Linked DNA regions of Drosophila melanogaster. The protein of the gene in region 1 interacts with the protein of each later gene in a pairwise test. Each region holds a gene or a part of one and is shown in the gene's direction. Other genes may lie near its edges.

What was found.
Region 2: the proteins of cpx (region 1) and moon interact in a two-hybrid assay, tested with the Drosophila melanogaster proteins (one large-scale study listed by BioGRID).

The regions. Positions count from the first base shown.
Region 1 is NT_033777.3:4,276,428-4,286,132, forward strand, and holds the start of cpx (complexin), read left to right. Parts: upstream 1-3,793; 5' UTR 3,794-3,929; intron 3,930-3,957; exon of another isoform or gene 3,958-4,395; intron 4,396-5,277; exon of another isoform or gene 5,278-5,576; intron 5,577-5,736; exon of another isoform or gene 5,737-6,055; intron 6,056-6,197; exon of another isoform or gene 6,198-6,246; 5' UTR 6,247-6,407; intron 6,408-7,798; 5' UTR 7,799-7,924; coding exon 7,925-7,979; intron 7,980-9,705. Other genes in the region: flip (flippy), read right to left, coding at 1,019-1,366. UniProt on the Drosophila melanogaster protein: Positively regulates a late step in synaptic vesicle exocytosis.
Region 2 is NC_004354.4:12,069,637-12,077,619, reverse strand, and holds moon (moonshiner), read left to right. Parts: upstream 1-4,801; 5' UTR 4,802-4,889; coding exon 4,890-5,408; 3' UTR 5,409-5,612; downstream 5,613-7,983. Other genes in the region: CG34323 (uncharacterized protein), read right to left, coding at 6,739-6,906, 6,962-7,132.

The DNA.
Region 1 (9,705 bases):
TTTGGACTGCGAGCGCACCGGCAACAGCACTCTCTACGATCGCTTTTAACTGAGCTTCAAATTCCATTTCGCTAGTTGTCTTTGTTTTTGACCACCAATTATCTGATGACTTATTATTTTTTTCTGCACTGTTTTGCCTACTTGCCTGGTGCGCTGACCATTTATTTAAGCTTGACACTAGGTTGTCTAAAAGGTTATCACTGTCACTCATGTATTTTTATTATCAATACTCTTTGCATAGGTTATAATATAATAATAATAATAATATTTTTAATTCGTTCAATAAGCGTTATACTTACAATATAATAATAGTGATTAACAAACAATTTTAAGGTAGATGGTCTTAGTAATTAATATTATATTTTATGTAATCACGAAATTTTTATTTCTTAGGTTAGAGTTAATTAGCCAAAGCCGCTGATTTTGTCTCCGGATCCTCCTTTTGTTATTTATTTATAATTATTCAGTTATCGTAGGTTTTTATATCCGTTTGGGCGCCAATTATCATTTTAGTAGATTTTCCATATATTTATTAGCGTAAGTTTATTAATTACAATAGGGCTTGCGCGGTCTGCACTTAATGAGACGAATAGTAAGTACGTGGCGATGACCGACGCTTCTAATCTTCCAAAATCGACTGACTTAAGTATAGCAAGAGTTCTTATCTCTAAAGCTTAACAAGTTACAGTTTCTTATAGGTAAAGCTCGATCTATAGATGGGAAAAGCACTTGAGGCTTACGACTATATTTCGGGTGTTTTGTGATTGTGTTAACTTATACACTTGATATGGTCGGTCGATACGCTTCTTACTGCCTTGAACATACTTTTCAAGGAGTAAAAACGAAAGAAAAAGCCATTTAAGCTACTGTCAAAATATAAATTAAATGAATATTTCGAACCAGCAGAACCAGAAATTTGTAGAAAATATGTATATATGTACGTTTGATTGTGCATAGTTTCATGTTTGGAAGCAGAACGTTTTTGATAAATCGATTTAATAATATTAATAATGTTTACAACTATTTCAGGTGAGATAGCCAAAGGCACATAACAATGTCCATCCTTAGAAACTGTCAGCGCTTTTATGCGTAGTCGGTATCCGAAGTTTTCTTCCAGATTTGTAACTGTTATGGGAGAACTGGAAGTCCAATCCAACTGTAACCAGCCAAGTCTTTTATGGAACTTATCAATACAGTATACCGAGGCATTTTTTAATAAAGACCAATGAAGTTGAACGCTGTTAACGGTAGGATTGGAAATTCGCGACACGAAATCGGGCCACAAGAGTTTATACTCTTCTTGGGTTAATTTATCGTCAAGCTCATCTTCGCTTTGGTTTGACTTATTTTCCAAAGTGCTGCACATCGGGCAACGTTGAGGTTTAAACAAAAAAATTCCCCTAACCTTAGCGATAATAATAAACGAAGCAACGCCATGGTTACCAAAAAATCGAACTCAGAACTGTTAAGCCAATATCAGCTTGAAGTCGATTTATAAGGTTATCAATAGAAGTTTGCGCATGTTTGCTTGCAAATGTTGCCACGCCCACTGTAACTTCCACAAACCAGGCAAGGCTACCACTCCCAAACTTTTTCCAAATGTTTAGAAATTTTTTCATAGTTTTATAAGCTCTGAAATTTCTTGTTACCACCCCCATTTAAACGCCCACAAACCGCCCCAAACTACCATTTTAAAATTTTGTTTATTTTTTACTCGTTTTATTCCCAAATATCTATCGAAAAGCCAGACCCAGACAAATAATGTAATTTAGCGTTGCCAGCACCCAACTCCTTGCTGGTAATTACGACTAGTAAGTAAAAAGTCCTTGTAACAAAAGAAACTATTCCGCCTTGCAGAGGCGTGTGTGCCAACCTAACGACCCTTTGAGATACGTTTTCTTGTCGGCAATGATTCCGGAATTTCCGGAATTCCGGACAGTTATCTACCCTGCACAATGAGCAACTCATCGACCGCCATGGAGGCATGGGCGCCGGGCCACAGAGATAGGAGTATCTCGATTTCAGTCGAGTCTCGGCTGACATATCAAACACAAAGACTGGCACAAGCACATGCGGAAAATTATCATTTGTCAAAATCACAACATGAAACCGTTTTAAATTTAGCCACTCTGCAGCTAGACGCTAAAGCCGCCGCATCCCTCAGCTTAAGCCCGCACGCCGTCCTGCGGCAGCCGCCTTGTGCTTTTGCAGGCCCGAAATGACAATGTCTGTGGCTGAAGCTGAAACTGGGAAAATTTGAGTTGTCATCTTTGCGAATTCTCATTGATTGAAAACGACCGTACCAACCATCAAGGCGGCAGTTCTGGCTGCTTTGGACGGCGGGTTTTCAATATCATTATTTGTGACGGGGGACTTATAACTTCAATTTACAAATGCCAATTGAAAATACCTAGAAGAAAAGCAATTGTAAATTTCGCGGCGGCGGGGACACGGCCTCAGCAATACCGTTAGTGTGGGCGTGGCAAAAAAATGTTTAGGATGCCGATAGAAATTAGAAAGACATTATAAAATCAAAAAATCTCTACCCAACATTAAAAAGTGCGGGTATGGCAGTTTGGGCGGATTTTGTGCATTAGAGCCGGCGTGGTAAAAAGTATTTCGGCAAATCGATTGCAAAAAAGACTACAACAAAATTAAAAAAATATGAAAACATTTCCAAAAGTTGTGGGCATGGCAGTTTTGGGTGGATGGTGAGCGTTAGATTGGGCGTGACCACATTTAGAATGAATGGAATTTTCATGTCCAATCTCAACTCTTTAACTTTAATAGTTCCTGACTTTGCTGATCACAAATATTTATACTTTACGCTTCCCTTTACCTGTTGCATACTTTTCAACGAAGATAGTACACCATTTAACGAGTATAACAAGTTGTTAAATCATCCGCACTTATTAATTGTGAGCATATTTGTATAATTCCTATAATGGTATAGACATACTGTTGTAATTAATAAACAACAGTCGAAGAACTCTACTACTAATCTACTAATGATACTTTTAATCACCTAAACGTATCAGTCTATGAAAAAAGAAGCCATATAAATTATCGCGGCTGAACTAAATGCTGCTAAAAATGTCCAGGCGAACGGGTCTCCTGGCTGTCATTACCTCTTAAAAAAGCTGGAGCAGTGAGCAAAATGTGGCCAATTTTCCTCACGTCGTCTGATGATACGGGAGGCGAATGTGCGAAATACGCCTGAAAAAAATAATCATAACTGGGCAAATAGGCGATGAAGCAATCCCACTTTCCCATTATGACGTGTATGCTCTAATTAAATAATTTATATAAATTGCCACCGTTACTCCCACGCAAAAACCCGCAGGAATTTCCTGTTCCGCCGCACTCGAGCTTATCCTGCAGGAGCAGGCCCTGGTCGGAATCCCGGCGTATCGACAACCAATTCGGGCATTAGCTGCTATCAATACGCTTCTTCCGGCGGGTGTGTTAAAAAGCAAGGCCCACAAAGGATGTGGTGCTCACATGTTCAGAAATTAGCGGAGGATAATCTGTCACCGGTTCCGCTTCCGAGCAATCCCTGCCCGTACATGGTGCACTTTATTTATCGCAACGCCAGACTACGAGGCTTATGTAAGCGTGCCAGTCAATACTGATGAGGAATGGGAAAGGGGACTCCTTGTCTAGCAGGGCGTGCAAGAACGCCGTCTCCGGCAGAAGGGAAAGTCGTTATTAACCAACAATTCGGCTAAAAGCTTTCGGCCAGCAAGCTTTCGTTTTGTTTGGGGCCAACTGTCAAAACTGACAGCAGTGCTCTCTGCGTTGGGGACTCTCTTCGCGTTTCGGCGGCTGTTGTTACCACAAGAGCTGCTGGCTACCAGTATAACGTTTTCGGCAGTTAATGTAGTTTCGGTCACCAGCAGCAGCACCACCGCCCCAGAGCGAACTTTTCGGTTTGTATACGGGTCCGTGACGAGTGGCAATCAGTGCGATATTGCAGAGTGTAGCGTGCATTGGTGTGGGGAAAGTACCCAAGCCCTGTGGTTCTCCGTGACCGACTGTTTAGGTAGACCCCACGGTCCGCGGTCCGCCCTCCTTCCGCGCAAGTCCCCCACGCCAGCGGTCTAATGGCCAGTGGACTATGTCCCCAGCCTTTAATGCCCTAGTGGCCAGGTCGTGACTATCATACTAAACAATGAGCTTCGCTTTGTCGAGCCATAAGTAATAAGCAATTTGTGGAGGAAAAATTATCTCACGCTGTGCAGCAAGGACTTGCTGGAGTGAACTTCAGTTGTATACGGGCGAGGAAGGCAGCTAACCTCCCATTCAGTGCCAATCCACCAAGCTGTCTGCCAAAACGCTATGAAATTATAATTGATTGAGCGGAAAACAATGACGCCATCTTAGTCGGCCATATTGGTATGAACACTGTCGGATCTGTGTCGCACTAATTAGAAGTCTGGAGTATTCTCCTGCGCCCTTGGCAACCTTGATAGGAGCTCTTGTCACGACATAGACTTTGACCCGACCACTGTCCGATGGCGGACAGATGAGCGGATGTGGCCAGATCTTTGCAATTTCCTCCTTTAAAGCTATGTGCTTCCGGTCCCGTCTTCCTGCTGCCTGGTCAGCACAGTCCGCCCAGCATGTACACACGAATGTGTGCAAACAAACGAGAGTGGCACTGACAAGCCAACAAAGGCCGTTCCAGTGGGTTGAGGGCGCAGCCGAGGGATGCGGTGCAGTTCGGCTGGTTCTCGCTCCGAGTGGTGATAATGGCTCGTAGTCACAGCGAGCGTCTTATCAGTACGGCATAGCCTGATGCTAAATGTTACAGGAACACTAACACGACCGCCACGAATCGATATCGCGTATACGCTATTCGGCGCAGGCGCCATCTCCCAAATGTAGGCAGCGCTTTTGCTGCTGATTTCAAAGTCAAAAAGTCAAGAAATTGAGACCGAGAAAGAGAGCGAAGGAGGAAGAGAGTGAGAGCGAAAGACATTGAGAGGGATAGAGATAGAGGGGAATCGAATTATGTAACAGACAAAAAATAGCAGTCAGATAAATATATTAGAGAGACAGAGAGATAGAGAAAGGGGGCAGGGTAGGGTTCTTTCAGTCCTGGCGGTCCTGCAATCTTGCCGTCAAACGAGTCCCACCCCCACCATTGTTGCCCTTATCTATGTGAGTGCCTGTGGTGCTCGTTTTCTCTCGGCAAGCCGAGCGGGAAAGCACTCAAACCCGAGCCCGAGAATTTTCGGACGGCGCTAAAGCTCGGTCCCTCGAAGCCCGCTATTCACTGGATTTCGGGGCCGCAGCGGCGCGGTCGGCTCCGACGCCACTGCCTCCGCCAACGCTTTGTAAGGCGCTCGCATGCGGAACAGCGGCAACGAGCCACGTTTACCGAGTTTTTCGTGTAGGGTACTCTGGCAGTGGCGTGCAGAAGAGTGCGAACATAGCATGAAGTAAGAAGCGCCGAGAAAACATAGCGACGGTCTAGTGAAAAGTGGCAAGCAAAGCAAAAGTATTAAGCACACACACACTGCCAGTGCGCACGGACACACACAGCACACTCCCGCACCAACACACTAGAGCAAGTGCGTGTACATAGAGGGTTTGTGTGGGGCACATATGTGCCCGCACGATGTCGATACTGGCTCACATTGGTAGTATTTAAAAAGCGACGAACGGCCCGAGCTCGAAAGCACGACTGAAAACCTAAATTGATTAAGCGAATTTGTTCTATCAAGCTAATTCAATTGCTCGGCCAGTTGACTGAGTGATCCACTGCAAGCGCAGCCTTATGTAATCGGAATCAGTGAAAAAAGCGAAACACGGCGGCCGCCAAAGGAATACGACTCCAGGACCCGAGTCAAATCGAATTTGTTTGCTGCGCGTATTACGTAAAGTAAAAATCTTGTTTGCTTGTGGCACCCGCCTCCTCGAACCCCTCCCCACTCAAAAAGGCACTTACGTGCACGCTCCCATAAAAGAAACCCTAATAAAGAAATATCGATAAAAGCAACGAAGCAAGTGGCACGCCAGCACAATAACGACGACGACAAGCGAAACATCGGTAACAATGCGACCCCTGGGGGTGTTGGTGTGTGTGTCTGCTATTTTTAAATTAGCGCCAGTCCTCTAGGTTCGGCTCGACCCCGCCGAACCCTGAAACCCGTAACCCGGGAGCCATATAACCCTGGAAGCCCAGAACTCTGCACTGTGAACAACTAAACGACGCCTTCTGTGTCTCTGTTTGTCTTTCAGGAAGCCTATCTGCCTAATGCACGCTCTTCACAGTGGATTTCCTTAGAACAAACACATTTCGCGCAGACTAGTCGGAACTTTGCTCCTCATCAACCAAGTCCACGCACTCACAGGAATCTTCAAGCAAAATCTGAAAGGAATACTTGCTGAACTAAGGCCAGGTATGTGGGTGGTCCATCAACCTAAAAAGTGTCGAAAGTATGCCCCAAGTATGCTCCAAACTTGCTCGCACTTTATTTCAAATATTTGTGCAAAGTGTTCGTCCGCATCCTGCACATTTTACGCGTAGATTGCTCGAAGGCAGCAAAAAGTTCCAAGCTCATTACGCAATCGTTCGAGTCCTCAAAATAATGCGAAGACTATCCAAAGACGAAACGATCGCAGTGCTCCATAGCTGCTTCGCCTGAGGCGTATACATGATATACTTGAGGTATACTTACCCTTTTATGGCCAAGGCCAAATGCTTAGGAGCGTGGGTGCAGCGTTGGGTCGGAGTCACACACAGCTTATTTGCGTATTTATTGGCTTTGGTTTTCTGACTGGATCCCGTATTAGAAAACTTTAAATGTAACTGGATAGCCAACTGAGAAGAACTTTGGGTCAACTTGAAATGTTTAGTGGCCCAAAGATAAGAAGGTGTTCCTGTTGCGACCACACCTTGGCCACCCGACCATAAAATTCTAAGCACGAATGTCATAAATTTCGCTTCTATTTAGCTATATTAAGTCAGATAGATGTGTTAGTTCGTCTCGTTTGCACCAAAATTCCGTGAGCCCGTGAACTTGTTTTCCCGATTCATTTTGCCCGACCATCTATTGCGCTGCTAGATGCGGGATGGTGGGACCGAAATGAATTTTTTACTGCACTTGCCCTGGTCAATAAAATATTTAGCTGTTTGCTAACTAACTGCCTGTCATAGTCTTCTCGCTATCATTAGCCGAGGATAAAAAGAAGAAGGGGAATGAAGGCGATATTCAGACTTCAACTGACACTCTTCATTTGTCCATTCCGTCCATTTCGCCTCGCCACCTTTCAGCCCTGGCCAAGTGGTTTGCTTGCGCAGTTAGAGAGAAACAAGCTGCCGCCTCCAGCTTAAGTTCGTTAACCCAATTTGCGCAATTATTAATATATGGGTACAAAGAGACGATGCAGACGCAGCCAGCAGCAATAAGATACCCTAGCTGCGTCCCAGCCTGGGGCGTTAATAAAATTAAAAATTTCGGCTGGAAGACACGTAGACCGCATTTATTACGGGATTATTGTGCTGTAGGACTAGGGGTTCGAGTTATTAGATTTGCGAATTAAGTTCAGTACCAGCCAGGGCTGCTTGGCCTGCTTGCCCCTCTAGCAATAAATGGCACTGAGATTCTGGCCAAGTCATAAACTGAATGAGATCGGTTTCTAGTGAAACAGTGCTTCAGCAGAGTACTCGACTTAAGGCATTTAACATAAGCGGCTTAAAGTATCAGGCGGACCCAGGTGACAGGGCACTTCTTTGTCCTGCAGCACACAAAATTAATTTGCTCTTTTCGTTTTGCTTTGTCGCTTTTAGCTTACCGAGCACCCAGGACCCAGCAACCGGGACTCAGGAGCCAGCGCGGACACAAGTGCATCTCTTCGAGCGGAAGCAGAGGACCACAACCAGGCGCAGCCACGCCCCTAGAGCGACAGCCCAAAGATGGCGGCCTTCATAGCTAAGCAGATGGTTGGAAACCAATTAAGTGCCGTTAAAGGTAAGTCGCACCGGAAACAGCCACCCCAGCATTTTATTTTTGGCACTCAATCAATACACTTTGATATGGACGTGCGGACGGGCGGTATACATAATTCACTTTCAAGCTGCTGCGCAGCGACAAAAATTACCACACATGACAGCCACCGCTTTTAGATACACAGCAAGGTCCTATCCAGTCAGCATCCGCATCCGCATCCGCATCCCCGTCCGCATCCCCGTCCGCATCACCGTCCGCATCTTCAACCCCGGCCAGGCGTTAGGCAAAGTCATTGGGTTCCCATTGAGGCTGCTGTTTAATCAGCGACTGTGCAATCGCTCGGAAAATAATAGAATGCTTTCAGAAAGAGAAAAGAGCGAATGCTAGGGTGAGAATAGTTAAGTTGAATGCTTATCAACCGACAGCATGCAACCCACTCTGAGCTGGGCCATTTACATAGAGCAGCCCTCTGCCCTGAGCACCAATTCCCCCTCCCTGGGACATATGTAAACTACCTCTACATCCCAGGCAAAAGACTCGTACAGTTTGCAAGTGCGCTGCAGTGCCTAACCCAATACCCCATACCCAAACTCCATCATCTGCAGCTGAGCCGGCCTGAGGAGAGCACATTACCGGGTGTCTTATCGAACGCAGAAATTCTGCACGAATGCCCAGGAAAGTGTTTCCGACATATTGGTACAGTTAATTGTGTAGATTGATACTGAATTTGTCACGCTCCCGTGCCCAGACTCCAGCGTCAGCCGGGGAAGAGTTCAGGGCCGGCGACTCAATCATCCCGCCGTCCTGTTCACCAGGCAGCCAGATGGGGTTTAGCTAAAGATTGCGGTTGGTGCGGTCGGCCATTAGGCTGTCAAGGCTATCGAGGCTGTCAGGGAACACGAAAACGCTATTAGCATGGGCATAAAATGCGAAGAACCGAATCAGATCTTTATACGTGGACTAGCTACCAGGATACCAGACTCTAGGTACTCTCTCTCGTTCCGCAACTCGCTCTCATGGCTATTACTTTGGTTCTCAATGATGCAGCACGGCGGCTACTTAATTTTTAGAAGGCGATATAAAATATCCCCATAAAAGTCATAGACGAAATGGCTGCGAAATTGTTTAGCCATTTCATGCTTAGTTCCTCAGGCCAGAGCTTCAATATGAATTGTGGAGCGAAAGAGCCAAAAATTTGCACGAAAAACATATTTTTCCGGATCGAGATTTCGAGTTGTGCGCGGTGGGCGGCCAAATGGAGTTGTCGGATAGCAGAAAGCCTGGCAGCTAATGTGTTTTCATTGTCAACTATCTACACTCGCAGTCGGACAATTTATTTGAGCTCGCGTAAGCCGTTATAACCATTGCCTGTCTTACGTAAGGATAATTTATGAATTGGTTATAGCTTCACTGACCTGACTTCGCAGAGCAGAGCGAAGTGACAAAGAAACGACAGTCACGGGGTTTTAAGAGTATTCTAATGCAACGGCTTTACAGCATATTCCGATGAAAACTTAAAGCTCATAATAAAAAACGTGTCAAATCAAATCGCTTGATCTGATCTAAATTATTTCTAGTACACTATTTAATTACATTAACATCTACGTTATCTTTTATTTACAGGTAAGCGTTCAAATTGAAAAACTTATATACAAAGTGCGTAAGTTATGGCAATTCCGCCCCTCAATTTATCTGTAATACATTGTTTAACAAAGGCATAAATATGAAAACGTTGCTGCATACTTTG
Region 2 (7,983 bases), on another chromosome or scaffold:
TGTGTGTGTGAGTGTGGCCTTAATGTATGCTTTTAATTAATAAGTGTGCGTCTGTTTATGGTTGCATACCCCCCATATACATATATCCCTATACACATACATAGATGTTTGGATATATCCATACAGTTTTAGAGCGAACATGGCCGGCTATAAATGTGCGATGCCCGCGTCTGTCAATAAGCCCATCAAGTGCTTTCTGTAAATTAATTTCATGCTCATCACGGATGTTGTTATTGGCTTTTAATGCGTCCTTGGGCGTCCTGTAAGGCACACACACACACACATACCTCCCACCACTTGCCAATTTTTGCGCCATATGCGCCAGCCATAATGACGTCATCGAAGGGTAGGATAAATGCAAGAAAATTATGTACTCACCACTGGCATTTCGAAGTGCAAAGTTATGACCGCAGATTTTCGTAGAAATGCTTTAGCTTTATGTGCCATGCTTAATGTGCCATTTAGCTGAAATTGATAAGAATTCATAGAGTTTTATTCACTTGGAAATGTATAAATATAAATATAAATAAATAATAAATATAAATAAATAATAATAATAAATATAAGTATAAATTTGTAATGGTTCCTGAAAATTAATGACTTATGAAATTATATTGAATTTTTTGTGTTTTATTCCCTGTTGTGATCATTTTGTAAGATCTTTAAATTCCGATTTATTACCACTTTTGTTGGTCTTTGGAGTATTGGTAGTAAAATGGGGAATCCTGAATCGTGAATGGCAGGCTTCTTAACTCATTGCCACCGCTGTCTGATAATGATGATGATGCATCATTAGGTTGACTAATTTTAATTACGCCGGCGCCTAAATTGCTGCTATCATTTTTAATAATATGCCGTGTCTGTGTCGCTCTGCATCTCTTTCTCACACCCTGCCGCTGTCTCTGTCACACCAACTCGTGTCGCCTCTCTCTCTCTCTCTCTCTGTGTCTATCAAGCCCTCTCATTCTGCCACCCTGTCTGTCTTGCCGCCTGTCCTTAGTTAGTGTTAACTTTTGCAAGCGGCAGCTGTTGCGAGCATCTTTCCAGTCTTCGTCCTTTGCCACTTTTTGTTACCCTTTCTGAAGGTGCTTCAGTTAGTGAAAGTGTTTACAGTTTCTGTCCTTTTCAGTTTATAATATGATATAAAGCACCACTTAGATTTGATTGCAGAAGGTGCATAATATAAGTATATATATACCTTTATAGATAATTTCAATATTGTCATAATTGTTGTATAAATTTGCCTGTAGTGTAGCTCAATCTTCGGCTCGAAACTTTTAGCTGCATGTCCTGGCCGACCAAACGACTTTTGCCCTGTCTTGATGCCTGGCACGGCTTCGTCTGCCATTCAGTGAGAGGGGAGGGAGGAAGGGCAAGATAGGGGGTGGCAACGAGGGGGGTGTTGCACAAAGCCAACAAATTATGCACTCACACACACACATACAAATGGGGGGGTGGTGCAGACAACTGCGTCGCTATTTGAGTTATGTACCAGTATGTATGTGCAAAGGAGCCGGCACATGGCAATGCCATCCGCACCACCACCGCCATCCCCTTTCCACGCTCCCCTTTTTGCAACGCCCCTGCACCACTTGAGCTGTACTTTTTTTTTGGCGTCCTTTGAGGACCCGGCACTTGCAACTAGCGACTCTGTGCCAGGTCTGTCCTTTCGGCCCGGCTGACATCTTCTTACTCCATTTGGGCGCGCTGTCGTGTTAATTTAGCGCGAAATATTTGACAAGATGACGCGATGCCACAGTCCCTGCGCCCATTTGCACCCCTCGCAATGGTGCACAGGCAGAAAAAACGGGTCACTTGTGCAGTTCAGTCTTTTGACTGGCTTGCAAATACGTTTTTTTTTTCACTTTGGCCAAGGACTAAAACATGGACAAACTTAAGCTCTCTCGTGCAAAACTGCTTTTATTGCGTTAATAGCTACTTCATTTCTTGCAGTGTATGCCAGGACAGGCACTCTTGTCGACGGCAGTAACGATCGAACTTCAGTCTCAGTCTCGCTGTCTGTGCAACAGACACTCATATCGATTTATAAGATGCCACACACTCCTGACATTCGATAGTGACTCCACTGTCGTGTCCTGATGTCCCGATGTCCTGATGTCCCGATGTCCTGATGTCCCGATGTCCTGATGTCTCGATGTCCTAATGTCCCAGTGTACCGCCCCAAAAGTCCTAGAGTTGCCGTGATTGAGCTGCGCGGTCGCTTTAAGTGATTTGCTCTCTCCAGCTAATTCGCAGACAATCCAACGTAAAAGCCGCAAGTGACTATTGACAGTTTGAACAAGGACTACACGAAACTTGGTTCTGGATTCGAATCAAGAAGATCACCAAATATATATTATTGAAATACTCAATTATTAGCGAAACTCTTGATTTTATCGATTTATTATGCCATTCTTTTTAAGTTAGTAACCAATTCAAGTGACTCGAAAGTTTTGATCGCCCATGCCATTTATGATTCAATTCAATCTATGCCTATGGCCACAAATAGTCGAGTAATTTATCGTATAAACTGCATTTTCAAGCCAAACTACTCACGGCCCAAATCAGCCGCATAATCAGCGCTATCGCCATCATCATCGGCACTATCATTATCATTATCATTATCATCATTGTTCCTTGTCGCGTCGTTGGGGATCGAAGGTTGTCGTTTGCTATTGGGGGGGTTACACGGGTTATTGAGGGTTACAAGGAGGTTACAAGGTGGTTACAGAGGGAGGAGGTTCATAGTAGGGAGCCAGCCAACGACAGACAGAGTCATTTATAAAATTTCCACCCGAACGTGTTAAATGGCGTCAATATTAAAAGTTCAAATATGACGCTGACGATGACGACGCTTGGGGAAAATGGGCAAGGGAAAATGGTTATGTGCGGGTGCATGGACGGTGACTTTAGGGGTTCGCGGGTCTAGGGCGTGATAAAATCGTAGGTTTGGCCAGGCAGGCAGACTAACATATATAGACGGCAAACGAATCAACAAACGTTGAAGCTATTATCGTTGTCGCAACATCGCACAACTACAGATACAACTGCGGCGTAACATGCATGGGTGTCTCTGGTCTAAGATAAAGGGGGTTCGTAACTGAAGTCTAGAAAGGGATATTTGCACTTTTAGAAAATAATAGCTACAAATCAAAGTCTTGAAAGTTCAAAAGCAGGCAATCATCTTGTTTTAAAGAGTATCCTGGTACCTTTATGTCTTGTCTTAAATGTAGTACTTAAATATACGAGTTTAGATCCCTTCTGCGAATGCCACTGCATACACACACACATATGGCATATGGTCCTTGTTGCTATTGCTCTTGCTGCTGCTCATCATCATCTTTTGGCGTTAGCAAGTGCTTGGCGGCAACTTCTAATGGCGGCATTATGCCCGCCAAACTCCACCCCCCTCCCCAAGCCTTATTCTGCTCATGAGTGTGTGTGTGTGTTTGTGTGTGTGTGTGTGCGCCCTGCGCAAAATGAAAATGAAACTGTTGCAAAATCCCATAAAACGGCCAAAAAGCTTTTGTAAATGACGCCAACAGCTGTCGATGGCAAAGCAGACAACGTCGCCGTCCGCCCAATTTGCCAAAGCACCCACCCACTCACTCATGAAGCCCCAAACACCCCCCCACCCCTTCGGAAACACCCCCTTCGTTGTACCACGATTGACATCTATGTGTGGGTGCACCGCTAAAAAATACTTCTATTTGAAATGATCGCTTTGTCTTAAGGTTTTTAAAACATTATAACATAGCATAGTAATACATAGTAATACTGAACTTGCCACAATAGAAACATTTGTATTCGATTTCAGATTATGTAACGCATATGTGAAATAATTTATTAGACTTAAATTGTTTTCAATACCAAATTGTTTTCACTGCTTAATTGTGTGTTAGAAATGGGGGTTAGATGGCGCTGCTAGTGGTGAGTGGGGCATCGTGAAGGTTTTTGGCGCGTTTTAATAAAGCGACAATGACATTTTATGAATTTTCCACTTTGTTCTCGGTCCACGCCCACAATACGCCAACCCAACACCCCCTAACCCGCCGATGACACCACGATGCCAGCCCCTTTGTGCTGTTTTCATTATTTGTTTGTTTGCCGAGAACCACAGACTGGCGGCCGGTTGGAATCCAGGACTCCAGGACTCCAGGACTGTAGGACTCCAAGACCAGGACTTCCAAAACTCCAAATGAATTGACATTGTCTGTGTATTCGACGGCTGGTTCAGTGTGTGTGTGTGCCGTGGGTTGGAGGGGGCAAGCCCCCGTGTGTGTTAGTGGGTGCTGGTGCCTGGGTGTTGCACAAAGGCGTGTCCCAGTGTGCCTTTTGATATCGGATTTCATTTATAATTAGCTGCAAAGTTAACGGTTGCCAGCCATACCTTGACTTGTGGTTGGTGGTGGCCCCGGTCAAGTAATTTGCTTGTCAGTTGGGTTCCCGGGGTTACTTGGCTCACCAGATGGATGGCAAGGCTGCCATGGGGCTGCACTGCAGGTGGTGGAAGCTGTCCAACGGCCAGGAAGATGTCGTAGTTTAAGTTAAAAGAATCTTTAAGCAAGGCTTTTTTTCCAATATTCTAGCCCCTTTCGATTGCAAGATAACTTAAAATTTAAATTATATTACCATTTATAAATGCACATGAGTAAAATTGTTATTATTATTATTGTTATATATAAATATATATCTATATAAATTTATTTAATAGCTTATAACATCGTTATCAGTGTGAACATTCTATAATCCTCCCATGCATTGCGGTAAGTCGATGATCAATTGTATCGATCGATAGCAAGCTTAATCTATCGGCGTAAGCAGCGTAGCTCTCATAAAACAATAACATTGAGAACCAGTCATTTCAACCACATTGCTTTGGCTTTGCCATGGCCAAGATATTGCCCACCGATGGCATCTGGATACCGGAGTCGTGCAGCTTTCCGGAGGATGTGATGATCGATATGATGGAGGGACTATTCCGCGATGTGCCAAACCTAACGCACAAGGAGTACCTGGCGCTGGCCGACCTGCAATCTAGATGGATGGCGAAGCTGGCCAACCGACAGCCGGAATCGAATCCCCTGCCGCCAAAGCCAAAGAAGCGTAAGAAAATCGCTCCAAAGAAGCAGGACCAGCCTGTCGAGGAGAAGGGCAGCGAAGTCGACATCTACGATGTGGACGACAACGAGATGGTCAACAATCGCATCTACATTCCGCGACTGCGTTCCGCTTGGAGAGCTCGCTATTTCAACATTATGATGCGCGCCTTTGTCATCAAACGGGGACTATTGAATAAGCACATTAACTGGCAGATTCTCGACAAGATCATGGCAGCCCCCGACGCAGAGGGACAAGCCGAGCTTCAGGCGTTTGTTGACAAAGTGGTCGCAGGCCAGGAAATGTAGTCCTTACAGCCTCCTAGGATAAGCACCCAAACACATAGATATGTAAATTCAAAATATCAATTGTTTACTCAAATTAAAAATAACAATTGTATAATCAAATCAACCTTTGTAAAATCATACCAATTGAACATAAGCATAGGTGTGAAGCAAAACCAGAGCCAATAAACCATACGAATGCCATCGTCTTCTGTGGGCCAAATCAACAAACGTTTTCCCAATTTCCCCATGAACGGCTCGGTGCCACACACCGAAACATGGGAGAAGTTACAAAGTAAATTCCACGCCCGGTTGCCAAGTGGTAGTCCAAATTAACAGCTAATTACGTGCGAATGAGAGCTACCCGGTTGGGGGATGTGGTCCAAATGTACTGGCTGCGAGCAAAATGGAAAACGGGGCAGGTCACAACGAACACGTACTAGCAACTAAATGGAGAGAAAGCGAGACAGACACCGAGTCAAACAACATTTGAATACGAAATTGCCCTTGAAAAAAGGGTTGCCAGCAAAAAAAAAAAAAAAAAAAAAACAATCAAAAAAAGTACAAGATATTCCAAAAGTCCCTGCGAGGCGAGAACAAAAGTGACAAATTAGTCAGTGGGTGGGGGTGTCAGTGGGAGGCAGTCGACACTGAAAGCGTTAAAATTGAGATGGGGTGCGCCAAAAATATCCACTCGGAAAACGTTGAACTTACATATATAATGCAAGACAACTTGGTCGTTAGACCGGGTCTTTCTGTATTCTTTCTGGTCATTACAACATAATATTGTGGCGGTTGTCATAAGGAAACTTTCACAAATCTGCACACGTAGCTCGATCTCTTTTTGCATAATTACCAGCCAAGTCAAGAAACAATAGGTAGAGGTATAGTAAGTATACATTATCATTTTTCTTTCAAACTTCAAATTGTATAAAATCTGTTCAACGTTTAAGCAACTACAATACGGCAAGTCAGAAAAGAAAAGTTTTATTTTGCTTAGATATTTCATGTTTTTGATCAATTTTCTTGCATTGTTTCTCTATATATATTTCAATTTGGAATATGGAAATGTGCAAATACCCTTAGTTGATTGTATTGAATATTGTATTGTATAGTTGATTGGATTGAATATCTAAAGTTGTTCCCTATTATGTATTTTTTCAGCTGCCACTGTGTGTGGTTATTGTCGGTTTGTAGATTTGTAAGCAATGACTCTGGTCCTTAGGATCCAGAATCCAGGATCCTTAGGATCGGACTTGGAAAATTAACGCCCCAAAAAGGGATTGTGTCGTTAAATGGGGGCATTTGCATTTCAGCACCCGGTTTAATGGGAACTGAAAAGTTCTCCGATGTTTTATCCAGATGATTTAACGGTGAATATTCCGAACGTATTCGGTATCTCCCCATCGTGTTCGATGCCTAATTGTACCCCAAAGTACAGGACGTCGCCAACGTTTACTTCGCACCAAGAACTGCCGATTCGCGTCGGCCAATAGTTAAGAAATATGCCATTATTGGTTTCCTGCGGAAGGCATAAACGATAACCATCGGTTGCACCATCGTAATACGCATCTTACCATCTCCTTAATGAAAATGTCTCCCTGATTAACGTGAATAAGAGCATGATATCTCGACATATAGTCGTACTTCAATACCCAGGTGCAAGAGGAGTGGCGCCCCAGAATTTGGATGCCCTCGTTCAAGTTAATCCGATCGCCAGTGAGCACGTGTTCCAGATAGAATGTCATTTTTCCCACCAAAACATAACACTCTTAAACTTGAAACGAAATGTTCTTCTTCTTCTTTAGAGTCTTTCAAACTAACGCCGCAGTCAATTATCGATTGTATTCGATAAATTTAAGTACTAAAGCATTGTCCATGTGCTTGTGTGGTATTATAATACCAAAATAATATATATTAAAATATATTTACATGCAATATTTAACATTTTGACTTTTTATACATATGGCATATGTAAACATACTTAACGATGAAATGATTTAATTGACTTGGTGGTATATAAACCAGATGCCTTGTAATCGATAACTTATCGCTGAGAATCGTGATCGGATCGCTAAATATCATCGAAGCCCAAACAATAACAAGCAAAGTTTAAACCAATTTGCATGGTAGCTTTTGCATAAATAATTGACTGAATAACTGACTCCGCTCCGGCGTAATTAGCCAGAATTCATGGAATAGAATCCCTTCACCAAGGGATGACAACGCTGCCGAGGCCAAAAGTCAAATACCCGGACCAAATGCAGTGAGCCAAAAATAATGAACTCCAAATGAAGTAGAACAAAAAGAAAACACAGTGTTAATTATTCATATTTCATTAGCGCACAGCACAGAAGAAACTCAGGTGAAGGCGATGCGATGCGATGCGATGGCAAAAGGCAAAGGCGTGTGCCATCTAAAATTTATAAAAATCAAAGTAAGCACTGCGAGCGCAAGGAGAATAACTTTCTGATGGCCGATCACTGGTATACCCTACATATATGTAATAACATCATATTAAATTATCTTATCTTTGCAGAATTGGAAAGTTGGGTTATGGGAATGTGGCACGCAAATCGTGCAACCAATTCTTGGAATC